Linked DNA regions of Nothobranchius furzeri. The protein of the gene in region 1 purifies or fractionates together with the protein of each later gene. This does not show direct contact. Links are inferred from orthologs where the notes say so. Each region holds a gene or a part of one and is shown on either strand. Other genes may lie near its edges. The genes, in order: atr, topbp1 and claspin.

Region 1 (2,777 bases):
ACCTTCTCAGCAGAGCGCACAACACACTGCAGCTTCTTCTTGTCCCTGGAGGTAGCTCCAGCATACCACACAGTGATAGAGGAGGTGAGGATGATGGTGACTCCATGACGGAGGTGATGGTGGGCTCCCACTTGAGGTCCTCCTGGGTGTTGGTGGTGCCCAGGAAGCGACAGGAGTCCACCATCATGATAGGAGTGTCAGACAGGGCTATGGAGGAGGGGGGCTGTGTGCTTCCACAACAACCGTCAACAACCTCCGCTGTCTTCTGTGCGTTTAGCACCAGGTTGCTGTGGGTGCACCAGGAGACCAGATGTTCGACCTCCATTCTGTAGGCAGACTCATCCAAGTCAGAGATGAGTCCGATGACAGTGGAGTCATCTGCTACATAAATACACAAATAACAGTTTTGATGCAGGACCGATGGATCATGATTGAAATAGATTGTGTCTTACAGAAAAAGCCACCTAACTGATACGTCTTTGTGATGCTTTTGTCTGCAGTGCCTCCGTAAAGATGCCGAATCGAGGCGAAGAGAATTGCATATCCGCACCTACGCTGTGATACCCCTCAACGAGGAGTGTGGCATCATTGAATGGGTCAACAACACGGCTGGGCTGCGACACATCCTCACAAAGCTGTACAAAGAGAGAGGTACTCTCATACGAGGCTGGGAAGTTCAAGAGGAGATCAGTATGAATGAAAACTTTTGACAAATTGTGTCTGTGGCTTTTTTAAGGCATCTACCTGTCGGGTAAAGAGCTGAGGAAGCTTATCCTGCCAAAGACGGCTCCTTTTGAGGAGAAACTGCGAATCCACAAGGAGGTGCTGTGCTCTCGACATCCTCCTGTCTTCTATGAGTGGTTCCTCCGTACCTTCCCTGATCCAACGTCCTGGTACTCTAGATCCTTCCAGCATATATATATAAAGGAGGATGTCATTTTAGTGTCTGACCATGTGCTGTTTGACTCACACAGTTACTGTTTTTGTCTCTGGTATGCATGCATGTGTGTGTGTGTGTACAGGTACAGCAGTCGCTCTGCATACTGCCGCTCCACTGCTGTGATGTCCATGGTGGGCTACATCCTGGGTCTGGGAGATCGCCATGGTGAAAACATCCTTTTTGACTCGTTCACTGGTGAATGTGTTCACGTTGACTTTAACTGCCTCTTCAACAAGGTTCGTCTTTGTCCCAAACTAAAATATCTATTAATAAAAAAAATTTAATATAAAAACAATAAATGAGATAATAAAGAACCAATGTTGTATTTAGTTTTAGCCACTACTTTTGCATCTTTCTCTTTTGTCTGAACATCTCTGGTGCAATTCTCGTTCTGTCCTCTAGGGGGAGACATTCGACGTGCCTGAGGTGGTGCCTTTCCGCCTGACCCAAAACATGGTTCATGCTATGGGGCCCATGGGCACCGAGGGCCTGTTTCGACAGGCCTGCGAGGTCACAATAAGACTAATGAGAGACCAGAGGGAGTCGCTCATGAGGTAAACACACAAAAAATATAATTTTATAAACTTTTACTAGTTTACTTTGTACTTTAATGTTATTACTAGTCATTGCTGCATTTTTTCTGTCACAAAATTGTTAGTTAAGTTTTTTCTCTCCATTTCAGTGTGCTTAAAACCTTCCTTCATGACCCTCTGGTTGAGTGGAGCAAACCAGCCAAAGGACTATCGAAAACTCCTGCCAGTGAGACAGGAGAGATAGTCAATGAAAAGGTGTGGTGTTTCATTTTTGTTGGGTGGGAGCAACACATCAGTAATATTTCCCTATGATACACATATATATGTTATTTAATCCTGTAATTTACTGTTGTATCCATTTCTTCCAGGCTAAAACACATGTGTGTGACATCGAGCAGCGTCTTCAGGGGGTGATCAAGAGCAGGAATAAAGTGCTTGGTCTGCCTCTGTCTATAGAGGGACACGTGCACTACTTAATCCACGAAGCCACAGATGAGAAACTGCTCTGTCAGATGTACCTGGGCTGGGGCCCGTACCTATAAGAATACCTCAGCTAATGAAGTTAGTTCTTGACCCTGCCGTTACAGCACTTTGGACTGTTGAATGAAAAACGGATGGTTCAGTATTTGTCCTGAAGTTTCTGTTGCTGTTTTGAAGTTTTCCGTTCTCTGGAAATGTTAAATTTACATATTTGTTCTTCTCTAATAAACAAAATGTCCATTTGTAAATGTGCCTTTTAAAAGCATTTTTAATCTTTTAACCCTCTGTTGAGACGCAATTAGTTCAGACTGTCAGCTGATTGTTTTTAATCCCTTGTCTTGTTGCTCTTTTCCTGTCGACATCCTGCTTCTTTCACAATGTTTAAGAAGCTAAGAGGACTCAGTGAAAGGTTGCTGTTTAAAATAGGTTATATTCAGTGTATATGTTTAAGCTAGCAGTACAGTAGTTGGAGGTTCAGACATAAAACTTTTTTTATATTGCTGCCTAATGTTTTTATTAATGCATGGGCTGCTTTTCCATGTTTTAATGCAACAAGAGCATGAAGGACTAACACTGATTGTTTCACAACCGCCATTTATTGTGTGCTTTTTTTGTTCTATTTATAATTGAAATAACATTGTGAAACGAGTGAAGTTGTGCTTATTCCCATAGATCGCCACGGTTTTATTTTGAAAATCATGAACCGGAAGTCGGAGGATTTAGGGATTTAAAAAATATATATCGTTACTTTTAACATTTTAACACATCTTTTAACGTCCATATCACGGTTTTTGCACATTTAATAGCATAAAAAAGTCAGTCCA
Region 2 (4,248 bases), on another chromosome or scaffold:
TTCCCACGACTCGGGTTGGGGCTCTGCAGCGGTGCTTATGGACTCCCTGTTCTCTCCTCCTGGTGGTGGCACGTCAACTTAAAACACAAAAATGTACTTTGTTTAAAAACCCCCACATCTAATGCAGAATAAATCCTGCAAAAGCACACTCCCACCAACTGTTGGGTCGCCGTCCATGTACTGTGAGAGCAGATCCTCATCTGCCGTCTTTAACCTGGGAGTGGTTGGACTGGGAACAAGCGGTCCGGCTGATGATCTGGGAGGTGGCACGGATGCTGCAGCTGCAGCAGGAGGAAGGCAGTCAGGGTGGAGGTATCCTTCCTCTGGGAGCAGAGCGCCTCTAGAGAAACTATCCAGCAGCCACTGCACTGTTACCACATGAGGCCTGGAGAATCACAAAAACACACCTAGTTTATTTCAGGTCAGTTTCACGTTTCTAGAATTGTTTATTTTATGTTCCGGTTTTTGCAGATCAAACAAAAGATCAAATGTTTTATTAACCCTAAAAAGCATACTGATTTATTTAGGAATACATTTTTTAATACCTTGATTGTTTAAAAGATCAAAACAAGACATTTTAAAAGTTTAAAGCACATTTTTATTGTTTAAATAAGAATTATTTGTAAATTACAGTAAATCTGTAAGGCTTGTCACCACCAGCATTCACACGTTCATTCTGTTTGTTTCACAGCCAGACATTATTATTTCTACCTATAAGTGGCTTTAGAGAGAAACTTGTGGAGCTCCTGGTCCAGCTCTCCCATCACCACATGAGTCAGTTCCTCACAGGGTTGGTTGAAGCGCAGACCTCCGCCAGCGTTTACAAGTCGCCGCAGCTTCTCCAACTTCTTCACCGGAAAGCCACAGAGATACAGCTGTGCAGCAATAGAACAACAATAATATCACCTCAAATTGACTAAAATAACTATAGAGAATAAAAAAGTTTATGTTTTTACCTTACAGCCATCCAAAACATCATCGACAGGACAAACGGTGAGATCAAGGCAATCTACGGGGTCCGACGTCTCCACACGACTCACGGTGGAGTTGGTGAGGGCAGTGTCATTTACCCCAACGCTAGCACTGACAGAAATGTTGCTCAAGCCCAGCAGAGACGGACCATCTAGAGACAAAATGCAGATGTGATTATTAAAGATGCTCAATTTTTAAATAACTAAAAGACGCGTGGCAAGCAGCCGACCTTGCCGCTTGCTGGTGCCAGTAGGAGTAGAGGTGTGCGGTGCGGAGGTTTTTGATGAACGGCGGTCCACGGCGTACCTGCTCTCATCTTGACAGAAACCCTTCTCTATGCTGTCAAAGAGCCAGTTTACAGACACGCAGTAAACATTCCACTTCTTGGCGCATTCGTACTTCTGACCTGGAGCACCGATAAAACGGATTCTTAGAGGGTTTGTAATAAATCAACAAGTTCCCCAAAGCCGTTAGTGACTTACCAGTTGGTTCACTAACAATCAGGTGTGTGCAGTCGTTCATTTTGAGCTGGCCAGTGTATTTAGCTCCGTGCTGCTCACAGAGCCGCTGCACCTCCTTACGCTCCAGGCTGGAGAGGCCCGTCACACAAACTGTACAGCCAAGCAACACGGGACACAGATAATCCTCCACTGGCAAGTCTGTATACCTTAAAAGACTGGGAACAAAATGGTGTAAAGAGGTGGTTTTAGAACAAAACCTTTAGAATTAGCCGTTTTTATTTTTTAGTTTAATCAAGCTGAACACCTATCCTGGGTCTTCTCCCAGCAGGCTTTGACCCACGAGGGCAGAAGGATGGGTTTACCCAGGTTGGCAGCCACCAGGTATTTTTTACTTCCAACCTCTCCTGCAATCAGGTGCGTGACAAACACATTGAGATCAAGACTGGCCCGTCCACCCATCAGTTGCACCAGATCCATCACTTCTGTCTGCAGAAACACAAATTAGAAAATAAAAGCAACAGTCTTCAAATTACATTAAGAAGACTAACTAACTAACTAACTAACTAACTAACCCGTGTTGCTTTGTCCAGGCTGGTGCAGGAAATGGTCACATCAGCCATTGCCATATTATACACAGGTTTCTCTGCTTTGGGGACACAGCGCTGATTCTGTAAGCAGTACAGCACCACCAGTGGACTCACGATTCTGCAGCCAAGCTGCAGGACAAACGGAGGCAAAAGAAGAGTTTTCCTCAAAGAGTTTCAATAATCCCAACAGGACTTATAATTTCAGAGTGTGACAAACGGAATCAGACCTGCATACAGTGCAGGAAAGCTGGAGAGGTGAAGCTGCTCAACACAAACAGAGACCTGTCCTTCTGCTTCATCTGCAGCACATCTTCTTCCTTAATGGTTTGTAAATACTTTTCAGACTGCAGCTCCAAAATGGCCTGAATAAAATACGACAGAATTAGAATCACTAAATGCAAATAAATAAACAAACATTAAGCAAGGCAGTGAGATTTACCTCATACGCTTTGGTGGCATGATCTGTCAGAGATCCTTCACTTTCCACAAACTTCACTAAGAGGCATTCCTTGTTTCCTTTAAGCATGTTGAACTTGGAATAAACACAGTATGTTACAGTTGCCACTTGATGGAAGCAGTATCTAAAATTACAGGAATTTATTTATAGACTAAAGCTTCAGCTGTAATAAGTCTTAAGTTACTAGCTAATGTTCACTTTTAGCCTGATCATATCAGCCTAATAACTAAAAACATGGACTATACTCACCTCCTATGGTTGGACTCCGGCTGGTAGTGAATATAAAGACATTTCCGTTTCTACTTAAATTCGGTAAAAACTAACTTTTTATAACAAACGATGTTGAGTTTTAAATGGCTGCTGCTAACTTAGCCGGTTACAACGTGAAAATGTTTAGAAAAAATGTAAAACTCGTTTTTTTAGGACAAACCGGCATAAAATCGCCACAACATTAAATAAATATACAAATAATTTATAGTACGAAAATTTAAGCTAATTGTTGACAGTTCGCGCCTTTCACGGAACTTCCGGTCCTACTTGCTAATCTGTCCGAGTAGAACATCGCCTCTGTGGCTAATAATAATAATAACTATAACATTCCTGAAGAAATTTGGGACCTGCCACCTGGCACAATAAAATGATCATGCATATGTAAAAAAAAAGGGACTCTTTAGAGAACCTGTACATATTTAATTGCTTATTATTCAAATGTCATGCAATTTTACAGTGGCACACAATCAAAATGAAAAAAAAATATCGGAGTTTTTTTGCTAATACTTTTTTTTTTGTTGCAAAAATCAAACAGCAGTGTGCTAATCATGTCTATGGCCGTGTTACAAATTTATACACAATAAACAGACCTTTTGCACTGATTACAATATAAAAATAACAATGCAGTAGAGTACTTTAGTAAATGAGGCATTAAAAAGTCCTATCTTACAAAATATCTCCAATGGGCCGAGCCACCTCACCTTCACCTGGTCCTGACAGCGCCACCTCTCCACCTCCGGTGGGCTGTCACTCCTCTTTTCCGTCTGTTTCGACCGGCGCCATCGCGGAACCTCCAATGGGCCAAGCCACCACACCTCCACCAGGTCCAGTGGGCGTTTACGGCGTTATCCCCGCACCTCCGAGGAGCCGTGCTCGTCGCAGATGTCATCGCCATCACCAGCAGTCTCCTGAGACCAGAGTTGTGCCGCCTAACCCAGAGGCCCCTGCTCTGCAACCCAAATCTGAACTCATCCAGTCGTCTGAAGCCAGAGCTGTGCTGCCTGACCAAGAGGCCCCTGCTCTGCAGCCCGAGCCAGAACTCCTGAACTCATCTACAGCCAGAGTTGTGCCCCCTATCTCAGAGGCCCCTGCTCTGCAACCCAAACCTGAGCTCATAAAGCCATCTTAAGTTAGAGTTGTGCCGCCGAACCAAGAGGCCCCTGCTCTACAGCCCAAGCCAAGACTCATGAATCCATCAGACGCCAGAGCTGTGCGGCCTACCCAAGAGGCCCCTGCTCTGCGACCCGCGTCTGAGCTTCATCCTGCTCCAGCGGTGGTCCCGAAGGACGCATCGCATCCTGCTCCAGCGGTGGTCCCGAAGGACGCATCACATCCTGCTCCAGCGGTGGTCCCGGAGGACGCATCGCATCCTGCTTCAGCGGAGGTCCCGTAGGACACTGCGCATCCAGTCCAGCTCGTCCACGAGCCCCCAGTCCAGCCCGTCCAAGGGGCTCCGGTCCAGTCCATCCAAGAGGCTCCGGTCGACGCCTCCTGTCCAAGG
Region 3 (4,135 bases), on another chromosome or scaffold:
GGAAAATGTGAAGCCTCTAACATCAACAGCAAGGGGGGAGAAGCTTCATCCTTTAGGTAGGTTTTCTTATTTGAGTTGTCACACTGAGCTCTATTTGGTGTTTTATTGGATTCAATTAAAGATCCTGAACACCCTGAAGTTAAGGAGCCTACCTTGGTCTGAGTCAGAGACTGGGATGGCATGGATTCTGGAAAAACAAGAGAATCTAAAATGCAGACAAAAACAGCATTATGACAAGACCACAAGGGCACTTAGACTGCTTACAAAGGATGATGTGGTGAGAGGCCAAGATCAAAATGCATGGAGCAGAAACGCCATTGTTCCTCAGTAAGCTGACCCAAGATCATATGAAGTAAGACCTGAAGGTCGTAAACTCAGAAGGTACCGTCATAATCTGCTGAAGAGCAAAGACGCCTTTTAGGAGGAACAATGTGGTGAGAAGGCAAGCTGTTGTGGCTCAAGCAGAGATGGTGCCTGCCATAGGAGGACATGAAAAGCAGAGGAAAGTGATGTCTCTCCAGGACCTGTGTTGAGGAGGTCAGCGTACCACCAGAAACCAGTCGGGGTTCATCTATTGTCGTATTTCTATGTTGAGCGTACTGCAGAGAGAGGGGTGAGATTCTTCTAACGCACGGTCGTGCACTCGAGCCTGCGCACGTGCCCAAGTGCACTTACAGAAGACCCGGAGACCGCAGATTCAGGCTTGTACTGTTTTGAGACAGCGACCTCTAAAGGATCAACGTGTAACTGCAACTGCAGATTCAAGCTTAACCGTTATTTATAAATAATATGTAATTGTCGGTGAAGCTTATTAAAATAGTTTATTCGTTGTTAACGCTTCAGTGAAGTAGTTCTCAGAATACAAATTTGAAAATTCCTGAGTAAATTTTAATAATAAAAGCTTTTATCATATTTATTTAATTGAAGTTGTTTGTAGAAACAAAAATAAAAAACTTTCCGATCGTACTCCATCTTGGAACGCTAGCTAACAGTGGGCGGCGCTGTCTCAAAAACAGTACAAGCCTGAATCCTGTGGGGCGCAGCAAACTTAGCCGCCCGCCTGCGCAGCGCTGGTGGATGTTTTAATTCCTCCACTAACTGTGTCGTCACACTGGGCGGATACCTCCGTCACAGATGGTCCAATAGCAGGGCGAGAAGCGCTGGACTGACAGCTCGCTGGTGAAAGACCGCGGGCCAGCTGTCACGGCGCGCGAAAGTGTAAACTTTGTGTTCGGTGAGCGGGTGAGGCGGGAGGAAGCGGAGCTGTCCGGTAAAACGCGGCCTAGCTGTTCGGTAAGGAGCTGCAGTAGAGTTCTTTTCACGGACACGTTGTTCTCGGTGTCGGTAGCGGCTGTAGCCGTTAGAGGAGCGGACGGAGCCTCGTCCCTGCCGGGAGCGGGCGGACCAACCGGAGCACAAAGATGAGCCTTGTCCTGTCTCACCTGCAGGTAAAGACGCTAGCAGGCGGCGTCAGTGGAAGGTGTACAGACAGGTACATGTGAGACAGGTGTGTGTTCAGCGTGCTGGAGGGAAACGTCACCAACAAGGTGCTAAGGTGCTGTTAGCCGCTTAGCTGCTAACACCGAGGAATCGGTTCTTCCGTTCACCTCGTTCTAATTCGGTAGAGCTCCGTTAAAAAGTCACATCAAACAGTCCGAAGGTCCGGTAGCCGTTACCGGACAGCTGGGCGTTCGGTCCGACACGGTTATCCAGCTGTGACGTTGATTCATTGTTTTACTGACCGAAGGCGCCATGAATCCGGCTAGCAGCTGGTCTGGGATCAGCTAGTCCGCCTTGACCCAGACCGTGTTTCTGATCAGGACTGGTCCCAGACCAGTGTCTCTCTGTGGCCCGGAAACCAGTCCGAACCAGGTCAAACGGCTCTGGTGTGAGAGGTGGAACAGCTACGGGTTCTAGACCCGGTTCTCACACACACACACACACACGCACACACACACACACACACACACACACACACACACACACACACACACACACACACACACACACACACACACAGGCTCTGAAGTCTGTCTCTCTTCAGACTGAGGCGTTGGCCCGAGCAGCACCACAGAGCCACTGGGACAGCGGGATGGGTCCTCCTGCAGAGGAGGAGGTCCCAGAGACGTCTGATAGAGGAGATGAGTGTCCAGGTGAGACAGACCTGCTGCAGGACGCTCGTGGACAATCAGGAGAAACCGTGGTCCCCTAAATCAGTTTTTCTCTCAGATTCAGATGATGACATCACAGTTCACAGGAAGCCTCGGCGTAACGCCATCAGAGACAGTGACAGTGAGGAAGAGGAGGCACCAAGACGCCTGGAGCTGTCTGAAGAAGCGGTACCTGCCTCTAGTGAGGACGAAGAGAGGAGGAATAAAGGAGGACAGAGGAGCAACAGAAAGGCTCGTGCATCTGATGGTAGCGATGGAGAGCACGAGGAAGAGGAGGAGAATAAAAGAGAGAAGAGTCAAAGGCATCGAAAGAAGAAAGAAAAACGCAGCAAAGTGGTGGAAAGCCTGAAAAGGAGAAGGAGGTCTGGTGGAGGAGAGGAGGTGAGTTCCGTCTGAAATTTTCATCCAAATAAATCCAGAAATCTTAAAAATAAACTGGTCACCTTTTGCTCTTTCCATCAGGACGTTCCTCTTCCTCCAGCGCTGAACGACAGCGGCTGTCCTCTGGGTGATCCAGAGCTGTTTAGCACCGGTCTGGAGGAGGAGGAGGAGGAGGAGTCTCTGGACGCCATCAGAGCTGCGGTCAGACAGAAAGTGAAGAAACACAAAGTAAGAACAAGATGTTTACGTCACTCTGACCCTAACTCCGCTCGTGTTCTGGATGAGAAGAGTCCGGACGTGTTTCAGGAGGAAGTTTTGACTAAACTTGTTAAATGTGACTGTAGGACCCCCTCCTGGAGGAAGAGGAGGAGGATGAAGAGGTCCCAGAGAAGCCCCAGCGAGCGGTAGGATACAGCACCACGTTAGACCAGGTAGACGACTCGGACTGAAGGTAGAATAAACTGATTGTCTCTGGGGGCTCCAGGAACGGAAAGCAGCTCGAGCCAGCAAGGAGGCGATGAAGCAGCTTCACAGTGAGAGCCAGAGGCTGGTCCGAGGTCAGTTCCCCTGGCTCTGCTCTGCTTTAGCTGCAGGGGTTTGATCTGCAACACGCTAAACGTTTCTCTGCGTCTGTAGAGTCGACGCTTGGGTTGCCATACCACATCCCTGAACCCAAAACCATCGAGCAGTTCTTCAAGAGGAGGACCCGGCCGGAGGGATCGGCCATGGCGCTGCTGAAGTAAACAGTAACAACTAGTAGCCCTGCGTTGGCGCGGCCCTGGGTTGGGTCGACGCGGCCCTGGGTTGGGTTGGGTCGACTCGGCCCTGGGTTGGGTTGGGTTGACGCGGCCCTGGGTTGGGTTGGGTTGACGCGGCCCTGGGTTGGGTTGGGTCGACGCGGCCCTGGGTTGGGTTGGGTCGACGCGGCCCTGGGTTGGGTCGACGCGGCCCTGGGTTGGGTTGGGTCGACGCGGCCCTGGGTTGGGTCGACGCGGCCCTGGGTTGGGTTGGGTCGACGCGGCCCTGGGTTGGGTTGGGTCGACGCGGCCCTGGGTTGGGTCGACGCGGCCCTGGGTTGGGTCGACGCGGCCCTGGGTTGGGTTGGGTCGACGCGGCCCTGGGTTGGGTCGACGCGGCCCTGGGTTGGGTCGACGCGGCCCTGGGTTGGGTCGACGCGGCCCTGGGTTGGGTTGGGTCGACACGGCCCTGGGTTGAGTCGATGCGGCCCTGGGTTGGGTCGACGCGGCCCTGGGTTGGGTTGGGTCGACGCGGCCCTGGGTTGGGTTGGGTCGACGCGGCCCTGGGTTGGGTTGGGTCGACGCGGCCCTGGGTTGGGTTGACGCGGCCCTGGGTTGGGTTGACGCGGCCCTGGGTTGGGTTGGGTCGACGCGGCCCTGGGTTGGGTTGGGTCGACGCGGCCCTGGGTTGGGTTGGGTCGACGCGGCCCTGGGTTGGGTCGACGCGGCCCTGGGTTGGGTTGACGCGGCCCTGGGTTGTGTTGGGTCAACGCGGCCCTGGGTTGGGTTGGGTCGACGCGGCCCTGGGTTGGGTCGACGTGGCCCTGGGTTGGGTTGGGTCGACGC

The links.
Region 2: the proteins of atr (region 1) and topbp1 purify together in Homo sapiens (affinity purification with western blotting; 8 studies listed by BioGRID). This does not show direct contact. The link is inferred for Nothobranchius furzeri from reciprocal best matches to the Homo sapiens genes ATR and TOPBP1.
Region 3: the proteins of atr (region 1) and claspin purify together in Homo sapiens (affinity purification with western blotting; 3 studies listed by BioGRID). This does not show direct contact. The link is inferred for Nothobranchius furzeri from reciprocal best matches to the Homo sapiens genes ATR and CLSPN.

The regions. Positions count from the first base shown.
Region 1 is NC_091758.1:22,170,093-22,172,869, forward strand, and holds the end of atr (serine/threonine-protein kinase ATR), read left to right. Parts: intron 1-500; coding exon 501-651; intron 652-736; coding exon 737-893; intron 894-1,022; coding exon 1,023-1,176; intron 1,177-1,342; coding exon 1,343-1,494; intron 1,495-1,622; coding exon 1,623-1,728; intron 1,729-1,841; coding exon 1,842-2,015; 3' UTR 2,016-2,201; downstream 2,202-2,777. UniProt on the Homo sapiens protein: Serine/threonine protein kinase which activates checkpoint signaling upon genotoxic stresses such as ionizing radiation (IR), ultraviolet light (UV), or DNA replication stalling, thereby acting as a DNA damage sensor.
Region 2 is NC_091747.1:45,076,945-45,081,192, reverse strand, and holds the start of topbp1 (DNA topoisomerase 2-binding protein 1), read right to left. Parts: upstream 2,921-4,248; 5' UTR 2,727-2,920; intron 2,553-2,726; 5' UTR 2,547-2,552; coding exon 2,460-2,546; intron 2,383-2,459; coding exon 2,248-2,382; intron 2,150-2,247; coding exon 2,006-2,149; intron 1,920-2,005; coding exon 1,738-1,919; intron 1,649-1,737; coding exon 1,455-1,648; intron 1,379-1,454; coding exon 1,202-1,378; intron 1,124-1,201; coding exon 957-1,123; intron 876-956; coding exon 712-875; intron 386-711; coding exon 156-385; intron 78-155; coding exon 1-77. UniProt on the Homo sapiens protein: Scaffold protein that acts as a key protein-protein adapter in DNA replication and DNA repair. Composed of multiple BRCT domains, which specifically recognize and bind phosphorylated proteins, bringing proteins together into functional combinations.
Region 3 is NC_091759.1:26,753,832-26,757,966, forward strand, and holds the start of claspin, read left to right. Parts: upstream 1-1,286; 5' UTR 1,287-1,421; coding exon 1,422-1,448; intron 1,449-2,044; coding exon 2,045-2,153; intron 2,154-2,229; coding exon 2,230-2,552; intron 2,553-2,633; coding exon 2,634-2,780; intron 2,781-2,896; coding exon 2,897-2,956; intron 2,957-3,036; coding exon 3,037-3,109; intron 3,110-3,188; coding exon 3,189-3,291; intron 3,292-4,135.